Linked DNA regions of Coturnix japonica. The protein of the gene in region 1 interacts with the protein of each later gene in a biochemical or structural test. Links are inferred from orthologs where the notes say so. Each region holds a gene or a part of one and is shown in the gene's direction. Other genes may lie near its edges.

What was found.
Region 2: the proteins of LIMK2 (region 1) and RPS6KA1 interact in a test that uses a peptide from one of them, tested with the Homo sapiens proteins (2 studies listed by BioGRID and IntAct). The link is inferred for Coturnix japonica from reciprocal best matches to the Homo sapiens genes LIMK2 and RPS6KA1.
Region 3: of the proteins of LIMK2 (region 1) and ROCK1, one has a biochemical effect on the other in vitro, tested with the Homo sapiens proteins (2 studies listed by BioGRID). The link is inferred for Coturnix japonica from reciprocal best matches to the Homo sapiens genes LIMK2 and ROCK1.

The regions. Positions count from the first base shown.
Region 1 is NC_029530.1:8,042,364-8,046,701, reverse strand, and holds the start of LIMK2 (LIM domain kinase 2), read left to right. Parts: upstream 1-1,471; 5' UTR 1,472-1,493; coding exon 1,494-1,617; intron 1,618-1,842; coding exon 1,843-1,942; intron 1,943-4,338. UniProt on the Homo sapiens protein: Serine/threonine-protein kinase that plays an essential role in the regulation of actin filament dynamics. Acts downstream of several Rho family GTPase signal transduction pathways.
Region 2 is NC_029538.1:152,420-156,064, reverse strand, and holds part of RPS6KA1 (ribosomal protein S6 kinase alpha-1), read left to right. Parts: intron 1-911; coding exon 912-1,028; intron 1,029-1,607; coding exon 1,608-1,689; intron 1,690-1,900; coding exon 1,901-1,981; intron 1,982-2,600; coding exon 2,601-2,680; intron 2,681-2,949; coding exon 2,950-3,056; intron 3,057-3,606; coding exon 3,607-3,644; intron 3,645-3,645. UniProt on the Homo sapiens protein: Serine/threonine-protein kinase that acts downstream of ERK (MAPK1/ERK2 and MAPK3/ERK1) signaling and mediates mitogenic and stress-induced activation of the transcription factors CREB1, ETV1/ER81 and NR4A1/NUR77, regulates translation through RPS6 and EIF4B phosphorylation, and mediates cellular proliferation, survival, and differentiation by modulating mTOR signaling and repressing pro-apoptotic function of BAD and DAPK1.
Region 3 is NC_029517.1:92,202,629-92,206,273, reverse strand, and holds part of ROCK1 (rho-associated protein kinase 1), read left to right. Parts: intron 1-206; coding exon 207-300; intron 301-663; coding exon 664-752; intron 753-1,327; coding exon 1,328-1,516; intron 1,517-1,995; coding exon 1,996-2,161; intron 2,162-3,330; coding exon of another isoform or gene 3,331-3,461; exon of another isoform or gene 3,462-3,645. UniProt on the Homo sapiens protein: Protein kinase which is a key regulator of the actin cytoskeleton and cell polarity.

The DNA.
Region 1 (4,338 bases):
CGGCGGACGGTGATGCACCGGGCCGAGGAGCTGCTGGGCAGGGTGCGGGTCGGGACCGGCGGACTCCGCGCTCCCGCCGCGTGTGGAGAGTGGGGCTGAGGGCGTGGCCGCGCCGCGATTGGCTCCCACCGCGGAAAGGGCGGGCTCGCTCCCTCCGACGGAGCACGGCGATTGGCTCGTATCCGTGAGGGAGGCGGAGCGCCGATTGGCCTGCGGCGAGGAAGGGGGCGGGGCCTCCCCCGGGGCGTGGCGCGGCGCCGAGCGGCTGCTGGCGGGACGGCGGGACGGCGGCGGGAACGCGGCCCAGGTGCGGCGCGGCCGTGACGTCACGGGACAGCGGCCATGGCGGGGCCGGCAGGTGAGAGACGCGGGGCGGGCGGGGCGCTGCTGGATGTATTGGGTGTACCGGGTGTGCTGGGCGCTGCGCATCGCTCGGGGCCTGCGGCGGAACGCGCCGCTTCCTGCCCTGACTGCCGGGCGGAGCTGCGGGGTCGGGCCCCGAGATACCGGCTGCGGCGCTGCGGGATTCTGGGCCCTCCGCGTCCTTGAGCCGCTCCGTGCGCCGGTCTCTGCCCGCTGCTCGCAGTCACTGAGCGCTGCCCTGTCCCGCTGAGCGCGGAGCCCCGTGGCTGTGCCTGATCCCCGCAGGCAGCAGCACGCTCTGAACTTAAAGCATCGCACTTACAGGCTGTGGGTGAGGGCAGCATCGTGCTCACGGACAGGCGTCCCTCGTAGCGCTGAGCTCTCCATCCTCTGCAGCTTCCCCCCCCGGCAGCAGGCAGCTGCTGTAGCGCAGTGATGGCAGGGCAGTGAGGGCAGCTCCCTTCGGTGGGAGCAGTTATTTGGTCCATGTAAGAGCTACCTGACATTTCAGGGTGAAGCTGCAGAGAAAAGCCTCAGACAGAAGGGGCAATTACTGAGCAACTGCTGGGTTTTAACGCTCTTTAGAAACTGTAAGTCTGTGGTTAGTGGTTTTCCTTCTCTAAGCGCGTTTCTTTCCTTACACATCTCTCTTGCAGCCAGCTTGCAGTAGCAGAAGGAAGCAGATCAGTGCCCAGCAGCACGACATGTCCTTTGTGCCATCCTGCGCTCATCCACATCCTCGGCTTTCTCTTAGATGTGCCCAAACAGCAGCTTGGCTCTCAGATAGCATTTCTCTGTGCCAAATTAGTGCTAGATTCTTTGTACTGTTTTTTTCTTTCCCAGTCTTTATGCATCCTGCCCGTTTCTGGGGCTTTAGGACTTCTTGACCATTGCTGGCATTTTCTGAAGGCACAGCAGGCAGTGGCAGCTGCTCCTCTTGCTAAGCCTGGCTGCAGTGCAGTGCTGGTCATACAGACTCTGCAGGAATATCCTTCTGAGTGTGTAATTCCTTCCTGGTGGCCAAGTTGTTCTCTGCTGAATAAGGTTTGTCTTTCTTCCTGTTCTGGGAAATCCATTTAATCACCCAAAAGTGCACAAATGTTATGTGCTGAGTCAGTGGCAGGAGGGGAATGGTAACGTGGCTTCCTGGCACAGCGTGGCTCCCTGTAGGGATTGTCACACTTGGCCCATCTCCACCTGAAATCTCTGCTCTGAGCAGTGGTGCAGCTCTAACGGTGCCATCTCCTGTGAAAGGTAACCTTGTTTTCTCCTGCAGAATGTGAAGGAGCACATGATGGTGTCAGGTCTGGAGGGAAAAAAACAGGGGTTTAGGATATTAGAGTCCAATTTGGGAACTCTAAACATTGGCGCTTATGGTCTGCCTGGTGTAATTCAGGGCTGTTCTTTATCAGGCATGGAGCAATCCTTGTTTTCTTTGATGTAAAACGGTTGTTGATGTGGCCTTATTCCTGTATACAGGTGAAGAAGTCTGGAGATGCCTGGGATGTGGGGACCTCATTGCTGCTGGTCAGCGCCTCTACAGGACAGTTAATGAAGCTTGGCACGTTTCCTGTTTCCAGTAGGTGCAACTTTACAGCCAATTGTACTCTTGGAGGATGGTGGATGCAGTACTGACAGTAACAGGGGCTGGTCTTGAGGCCATACCCTGCTGTCAGCTCTATGTCTGACCTGCTCTGCAGCCCGTGGCAGAGGCAGTGTGCTGCCGGTCATTGCCGTGCTTCAATACCCACAGCAGCCCTTTGGAACTGACCTTCAGTTCTGGCAGCAGTCTGGTGCTGCCTGGCCAGGAGCTGACACACACACGTATGGGAATACAGATAAAGTATAAATGGAGGCTCTGATTTGCTGGTGGTAGCAGAAGCCGCAGGTTGTGTCTTTGTCTGCACTAGCATTCAGAGGTACAACCCAGGCCACCTGAGCTCCTGTCGCTGTTTCCATATATATTGCAGGAGCAATATCAGGGTGTTGGGAAAGCTGCTGATCTGGCAGAGGGGGCTCTTGCCTTTTTCACAAATACTCATTCTAGTTTTCGTGCTCCAGAATTGCATTTCTGAAAGGAGCAGGAGCTTCTGCTGGCTTCTGGGTACGAGTGACTATGTCATGAATGTGCAGAGGTTAATGTGTTGGACCCTGTTAAAGCAAATAGAGGGTAAAAGAAGGCAAAGTGCGGCTTTGGAGGAATGTTTGCTGTGCTGAGACAGGCATCTGTCCCATTGTGTTTAATTTATTACTACAAAAAGACTTTGTTGAATTATTATGCTTCTTGGTGTATATATATATATATATATATATATATATATATATATATATATATATATATATATATGTAAAGCAAAGCATAGCAGGCTGCCAAAGCAATGTTAGCTCTATTGATTTGGAAAGCGTTGTTTGTTAGAATGCCTTGTTAATCACAGCTACTGCTCCATGTTGCTGCAAATCCGACTCTTTCTGCTTTCTGTTGGTCCGAGTGTTCATGTTCAGCTGTGTTGTGTCAGTTTCTCTAAGCCCTGTTTTTCTCTTCTCTCTTCCAAGCTGGAGTCCTGCTGTGGAGCTTCTCAACATTCTCCCAGTTAGCCAAACTCTAATTTGTGTGTGCAAGTCTTTCTTCTATGCCTCCTCTTGTACTATTTCTGATGCGAGTCCTGATTTGTAAATGCCTGGGTGCTTCTTGTAGAGGTGAATGACAGCTGAGCTGCAGGCAAACCACCCTTAGTGGCACCAGAGAATTTTATGCTGTAGTTTATATTGTAGAACAGAAGTCTTTTGTTTTTTTCTTCCTTTAGGTTTTCCTATTTACCTGCAATAGAAAGGCAGGTAATGGCTTTTCTCCTCAGATGTACAGTAACTTGCTGATGCTCTTCTCTTATGCTCATTACTTTTGGCTAGCTCTGCTGCCCAGCTTCGAGGCCGTGCTGAGTGAACAATTGGAACCTGCAGCAAAGGAAGCTGCCCTTCCCTTTTTCCCCGTTCCAGGCTAGCATTGCTCATGCAAACAGAGTTTGCGCTCTGCTCTCCTTTCTTTTCTGTTATCCCCAAACCATGCTGGGCAGCAGTCTTGTGCTCGATATCCCAAAGCCAAGTTTTAAAAAGCCTCTAATGGTAGGAGCCTTTGGCAGCCTGTAGCTGTGAGTTCCGGCAGCTCTTGTGGAGTGTTTTTTACAGTCTTCCTGTGGATTAGCTGCGTCTCTGGCCTGGCACATGATTTCTCTAATGCTGATTGGCATTGATCCAGTCTTGTTAGCTCTGTTAAGCTTGTTAGCTTGGTCAGGCGAGGCTGCTGATCATGCTTGGCACTGGTGGTAGCTGACGTACGTGCATGTCTCTGAGGATTTAAGTTTTTTGTCACTTCCCTCCTTCCTCAAGCTGCATGTACAGGAGCTTTGACCCTGAAACCCATGTTTTCTCTGATGTGACTTGGAGGGAAAAGCAAATCCCTATTCATATATCTTGGATATTTTACACTGTTCTTTGGCTAGCTGATCCTTAGGCTTGAATCTGTTGGGTTAGAGCTGGCTGTGGAGTCTTCTTTTAGATGTTTCTGACATAATCTCTGTTGTGAATTAACTCTGAATGTGCTTTTTTTTGCCTCTGAGATCTGTTGAGTTAGGATCCATTTCAATGGTCTTTTTTTTTTTTTAACTGATAAGTGGCTTCCCTGGATTTGGAGCATATATTGCACAGACTTAGCAAAGGAAATACAGAGGTGGCATGCTGCCTTTTTCCTAGATTTGGATCGCTTTTACCAGAGGGAATTATTGGAAGAAGAATGTGTTTGTCTCTTACTACCTATACCATGCTGTTCTTTTAGCTTTCAGTCCATTTTGTCCATATTACAAAACAGAAGGTGCTGCCTTATATGCTGTTTTGATGTCCGTTGTTTTGTTGATTCTCCCTCCCCACAGATAAAGACAGCATTAAAACAATTCCCTCTTTTTATAGGGATGTTGCACATTT
Region 2 (3,645 bases), on another chromosome or scaffold:
TCTCTGACAGATCTGAGTGTCTGGATATCATGGGATCTTGAGAGAGCAAAGCTACCAACAGACATGGAGCAAAGCTCTACTAGAGAAAAGACAAGCACAGGAGTGGGAAAGGAAGGGTGCTCAATGCTGTGCTGCAGGCAGCAACCACATCCGTGTGCTGTGTGAGGAGGAGTGAGGGTGGGAGCTCAGTGTGCGCAGGGCAGAGCCTGCAGCTTGGTTCCTGTTTTTTTCTAAAAGCTTTGATTAGGTGGGTTCCGCAGTGAGTATCTGAGTAGCTCTAGAAAACGAAGTCTGATTTTCTCACTAATTTCTCCCCTACTCGGCAAGGGGAAAATCTAACTAGTAACTAGTAAAAGAATGTGTTTTAAACAAAACATGTGCCAGAGACCTTGGCTTCCCCTCAATCTTTCTGAAGGCTTGAGTCTGTTAAAAGCATCATCTGTATGTGCTGAAGATGCACCAAGGCTTATGTTGCAGAGTTGCTCAGATTGCTGAGCAGATGGGCTCCAACATGTCTGATTTTTGCCAGCCCTGGCCATGTTTTGACAACACCACCATATTTTTGTGTTGTGGGATTTTTAGTGGCATAAACACTCCTGTTTTTGCCACCAGTGCCTTAAAAAGGAAGGTGCTTTCAAGAACTCTTCTGAAATGCAGTTCAAAGGAACGCAACACCTCTGGTGCCGGGGAGAGTGTGGGGATGTAATGGTGCTGCCTGGTGGTAACCCACTGGGGACTGCTTTGTTCCAGGTGTTGAAGCCAGGAGGTAGCTGCGACATGCACCTGCTTTTATGGCTCTGTCAGATGTGGTTCCTGTGAGTCTGCAGCTGTAGACCTTGCTCTTTGACTCAATAAGACCTTTTTCCCCTTGTTCAGTATATTCACAGCCAACCATGTCCTCTCTTTTCCAGGGTGAGGGTGTTGTGAAGGAAATCAACATCACACACCATGTGAAGGAAGGTTTTGAAAAAGCCGACCCTTCGCAGTTTGAGCTTCTGAAGGTTCTGGGACAGGGTTCTTTTGGCAAGGTGAGCTCAGCTCTTCCTGCGTGTCACACAGATAAGTGGTGTTGAAAGAAGAGCTGAAAAAGGGACTGTCCCCAGCGTAACCTCTTTCCTGATTCTCACCGGACCGTATCCGGTGAGAATCTGATATGTTCACTTAGCAACTGGCTGCTTCTAGTTTGAAGGGCAGCTGCGGAGACACTTCTCATCAACGTCAGTGTGCCAGCTCTACCCGGAGGTCTTTATGCAGCTGGTCAGGAGGAAAGAAGCATGCAGTGCTGTGTGGGGCAGAGGGCTGGGGCATGCCTCTCTTCTCACGGTGATGCTGTGTGCCAGGGACTGGGTTTGGCCTATTTGCTGCTTCCCTTCTGTGAAGGAGGAAGGAAATAGCCTGTAATTTGTATCTGTTTCAAAGTGCAAACAAGCTAGGTCTTTTGCAGACCATCTGCTCCCATGTTGTCTTCAACTTCACGTCAGTCAGCCATCACCACAGCAAGGGGTGGTGCAGCAGGGGTGCTGTGCATGTGCAGCAGCAGCTTTGTTGCAATGAATAAAGGACTTTTGAAGCTGTTTAAAACCAGCTTGTGTGTTCTTCTGCCTCAGGTTTTCTTGGTGAGGAAAATAACACCACCAGACAGCAACCACCTTTATGCCATGAAAGTGCTCAAAAAGGCAACACTGAAAGGTAAGGGAGCCTTACTGCTGTGTCCTATTGCTTCATGGGAAATGGCACTGCAAAAAGGTCACCACCAGTCACTGCTGGCCCTGGGTTGATGGAGATTGGAAAGATCTGGCTCCAGCTGCCTGATCCCAGAAGGCTTAGGGCTAGGGGTGAAGCTGACATCACGGCTTTGATCTTTCTCCAGCATCTGAACTGTTCCTCTCTTTTCCCACAGTGCGTGATCGTGTAAGGACAAAGATAGAAAGGGACATCCTAGCTGATGTAAACCATCCCTTTGTGGTGAAGCTGCACTATGGTGAGTACGGGGTTGGCTGGGACAGGTGTGTCTGCCATGGTCCTGGGCACCTGCAGTGGCAGAGCCTGTGTCAGTCCATGTCTCTCAGTGGCTGTGCTGTGCTGGAGCATTCACAATCCCCTTAAAACAAATCCTTTCCTGGAAAGGCCTTTGGTCTTGTGTTCACCCTTGAGTGGGGCACCAGGAGAGGAGGTTTAAAACGTCAAATCCTTGGGATTAAAACACTAATTCAGGAGAAACTGAGAAAGCTGAGTTAACTGTTCAAGTCAGAGCATGGCAGGATGAACACTCTCACTCTGAGGAAGTTGAGGACAGCTTCTGCCCCAGTAAATTGACCAGTGTATTGCTTGAGAAACAGCCCATCCAGCAGGGCATCAATGGCTGAAAAGGAACAAATCCCACATAAAATGATGCTTTTCTGCACTGCCAGGGGATTGCATCCTTTTCAGTATCATAGGCAGGAGATCTGATCTACCTTGAATAGTTACCCTACTTGAATCCTAGCAATAATGCAGGGCATTTGCACAACTGAAGCCATTGGAATTTAAGTGATTAATGTCACACTATCGAGCTTTCCCTCAGTGGAGGGGTCTGATTCCTGCTCTGGCTTGTGTTTCAGCATTCCAGACAGAGGGGAAGCTGTATCTCATCTTGGATTTCCTCCGAGGAGGTGACCTTTTCACTCGGCTTTCCAAAGAGGTGGGTATACTGTGGCATCTTAGTGGGTTGCTGAGGCTCTCTGTTTGTGTGTTAATTGCCTGGAGGAACAACTAACCCTCAGAAAGTCCTTGAGAGAGCTGAAAGGAGCCTCCAAACTGCTGCTAGCCCAAAGGAGGGTATGTCAGGATGTCATGTCTCCTGGCAAAGCCTCAGAAACTTAGATTTAAAAGGGCACAAAGGCACAACATGGGTGTGAAGGGTGTTGCTTGTCATGCTTCCAGGATTATAACCCCCATCCATTCCTGCAGGTCATGTTCACAGAGGAGGATGTGAAGTTCTACCTTGCAGAGCTCGCTCTAGGACTTGACCATTTGCACAGCCTGGGAATCATATACAGAGACCTCAAACCAGAGAAGTACGTGTGGTACAGATCTGTGTTCAGTCCTCAGCCTGCAGTCAGAGCACAGCACAACCTTATTCCACGAAACGATGCCTTGGGCCAAGCAGATGGAAGGCAGCAGGGTAGATCAGTGAGGCTCTTGCTCCTCACACCAGCAGTTAGAGCCAGGAGCACTGTGGCAGCAGCAAGTGTGTACCACATGTCTGAGTATGTCAGCCAGTGCTGAGTTCCAGCTTTGAGTAAGTGAGAGCCTTCGGAGGAAAAAGGCCTCTGAGGAGACACACAGCAGCTGCATGAGTGGGTTGTTCTTACCTGAGACATGGGAGGGATCAAACTTGGTGTAGTCTGTGTGGCTCATTGGTTCAGTGTGAAGTTTAGTATGTATAGAAGGGGGCTGCTTTCCCCCATTCACGGTGATGGAGCTTAAAGCTTAAACAGGTGTTGGAAGGATGGATAAGTCCCTCCTCTGGAGTTCTGGAGCATCTCTGACCAGCTCTGGGACACCTGCTGGTTCTCACCAGCCTTTCTTGCCACTAATGACTTGTTTTCTTCTTCCTTGCTGTAGCATCCTCCTGGATGAAGAAGGACACATCAAACTCACAGG
Region 3 (3,645 bases), on another chromosome or scaffold:
TGTATTCTCGGACCTCCTGGTATGTCAAGTCAGCTTAGAAGGAGAGTACCATATTTACAGTTCAGTTTTGAGAAGAAAGCATTTTTTTTTAATGGACCCTTGAAGACATTCCAAGTAAAAGGCTGTTACAGATTAAGGATATTGAAGGAAATGATCTTACAAATATGGCAAGATCTTTGTCTTAAAATCTATTTGTTTTCATTTAGCTGGAAGAAACTAACAGCACGTTAACCAAAGATGTTGATTTAGTAACAAAAGAAAATACAGAGATCAGTGAAAAAATGAAGAAACAGGAGGAAGGTATGTCATGTTTGGAGTTCTAAATCATCCGGTATGAAGCACAAATGAATGTGAAGTATGTGTGCAAATGAAAATTGGACATTGGAAAAGTATTCCTGTGTGTCTTCCATAGTGGTGGAGTGACTTGATAGAAAATGTGTCATGTTGAAATAGCGTGTGAATTGCCACTCTCTACCATATTTGTTCCATTCCCATTCGCTGCCTTTTTATTGTTGAGAACAATTAAAACCTCAGCTTCAGCAGGCAGGAATAACTGAGCTGCAATAGGAATAAGGGGAAATTAGAATGGTACAGTTTTATGTGATTAAGCTTAGGGATGCTTACTTTGTCCTAAAATCTCAAAGTTGAATCTTACTTTAACAGAATACAAGCTGAAAAAAGAGGAAGAAATAAACAATATTAGAATGCAATATGAGAAGAGTATCAACACTGAGAGAACTCTGAAGACACAGGTATAACTTTTATGTAACTGGATAAAGTTAAAACGATGTTGCATACCAGATATATTTCAGCTTGTTTGGGTTTTTTGTGCAACTAGCTCGTAGTGCTTGAGATTTCTGTTAATTTCATGCTAATCATGATGTGTACTACCTATTCCTGATGTTTAGAGTTTAAGTAAAATTGGTTATGAGTGCTTTTTGCGATTATTACTAGTGTGAGTAACTAACAGCATTTCTGTGGTTTTGGGAAATCAGTACTTTCTAAAGACAGATGGAAATGATTGGTGAAGTTGGAATGGGGCAGGGGTTTGTCTTTTTCAAGCACTTATCACTATTTTGGCTATTTGAATTGGGTGTCAGTGTGAGAAATACGTTAACTGAGGTACATGTTTTAATGTACCCACAGGGGTATGTTTTCAGTTTTGGAATTAATTGCAATGATTTATTGAAGTGCACCTCTCCCAGTCTGTTCTTAGATCATGAGGACTTGCACATCCTCCAGCTAGATAAGCTTGGAAGCTTTATGTGATACTTGCTCTCGTGTGTTACTTTTCTGACTTATCTTCTTCTTCTCTTTCTTATAACAGGCTGTCAACAAACTGGCTGAGATAATGAATAGAAAAGATTTTAAAATAGATAGAAAGAAAGCAAGCATGCAGGATTTGAGGAAGAAAGAGAAGGAAAACCGAAAGCTACAACTGGAGCTTAATCAAGAAAAAGAGAAATACAATCAGATGGTGGTGAAATACCAGAAGGAGGTTAATGAGATGCAAGCGGTAAAAAAACCTTCATTTTTGTTACATTATGAAGTTCTCTGCCCCGGGAAAACATGCAGCTCCTTGTGCACTTGTGTAAAGGAGTTCTGTTGCTGATGTATCAGACTGCAGAATTTTAGTGCAGCTGTGTTTGTTCTCATTCATTTCCCCATTCTCAGTTGGTAACTGTGAATGTGATGATTGGTACATTATGAAAGCTGAATATTGTGTAATACAGTATTCTTATGGTTTTTCTCTGGAAGATTAAATTTGTTGGTGAAAGTTCTATTAACATTTTCTGTTTCAACACATTGCTGTATCTTTGATCACAAACTTCTTTCCTAGACTTTAGGAACACTTTTACAATAATAATTTATGTCAATGCTATCAAAAGTGTTGAGAGATTTTCATGAAAAAAGAACTAGTAAGGTGTTGTTTTTAAATACTTTGTTCCCTTATTTCTGATACCATGGTGACATTGTATGTGTATACAAATACAGCAACTAGCAGAAGAGTCAACATACAGGAATGAGCTACAGATGCAGCTGGATAGTAAAGAGAGTGACATAGAACAACTACGAAGGAAAATTTTGGATCTCCAGCAAGGAATGGATTCTAGCAGCGTTTCTAGTCTACAGCCAGATGAAATCGATGGAAATCTTTCAGGTAAGAGGAAAGCGTATTTGAAGTAGGTGTGTCTGTGCATATGTGTAGTTTTGGAAGGTCCAGTCTTCCAGTCTTTCAAATAGGTCACTACCTTCTTGAGAATACCATCCTACTGTCTTTCCATGTCACATTTCTACTTCTATTTTTAAGTGTATTTTTCAGTTTCATGGTTCAGCATCTCATACTTAGTCTCCTAATTCCTTCTTGCATCAAACCTCTGCTTTATGGCACAGTACTACTATAAATTTCCATTTTTGTGGAAGGAATATCTTTATAGCTGTCACTGCTGGTGTTTGAGTGTAATAACTACAGTTTGCAGTGTAGAGTGAATCCAGTAGAGGGCCAGCATATTTCCATGATGTCTTGATTGCATTTTATATCTTGAATGCAAACTTGCCTTGATCTTGCTTTTAGTCATAGTAATGTAGCATTTTTATGAAAAGCAGCAGCAGTTGTCTGTGTGGAAGGAAAAACCTCACCAAACTGTCAAAATGTCTATAATGCATACCAGAGTGTGGTATTCTGACAGGAAAGAAGAATACCAAATATAAGCTGGTAATTCCCATAGAGTTTCAGCTGCATACGTTGTATTTGGAGGCCCACTGATAACACCAGTTAGTGATTTCCCACCCCTCATTATTTGCAGCGTATAATCAGTATGTTCATGTTTCTATATCCCTAGATAGGAATAGTAAGCACCTTCTTCACCATTTTCAGCAAAATGACTGTTTTGTAATATGCTGGAAAAAATAAACCCTCGTCGCTTGCCTCCATCTGGTAACATCTTCCCTGTTTCCTTAAAATTAATATTAAGTCAGTGTGACACCGTCTGCTAGATCTGGGAAAGTTTATAGGTAGGAGTATGATCCTTCTTTGTGTGCCTCATATGGTGCATTGTTTCCAGTTTTCCTTTTGTAGTTGTAAATTTTTAAGCTTCTGTTTGTCCAAAATGTCACTTTGATTTTGGGGGCAGAAATTTACTAAGCCATGGCAAATCAATCAGCTATAACTCTATCACTGTTAATTAAAATATCATAATTACTGGAACTTCTTACAGTCTTTCCCTTTGTCTTCTGTACTCCTGACCTCTTTATTTCTACTTTACCAACCTTTCATTTCCCTTCATTTTTTGCCCTCTTCTTTCCACATGCCTCTTACTTTTACTGCAGTTGTACATCTGATGTTAGTATTTCATACAGGTAGGACCTCTAATATATATTACAAGGACATTCCATGTGTGTTTCTAAAATGTGTTTTGATTTTGTTCTTAGAATGTGTTGGTGTTTGTTTGTTTGATTGAGGCTCTCAATTGATCAGTATCTAAATGAGAAGCAATTCTGGTGATTTGAGATTTTGGTGTTAGTATGATCATACTTCACACTTTTGTTAGTCAAGCAGAGAGCACAGGAGGATGACACTATCATTCTAATAAGGAAAAGAAAGCCAGTCTTTAAAGTGTACATACCCTATGCCATAAAAGAGGA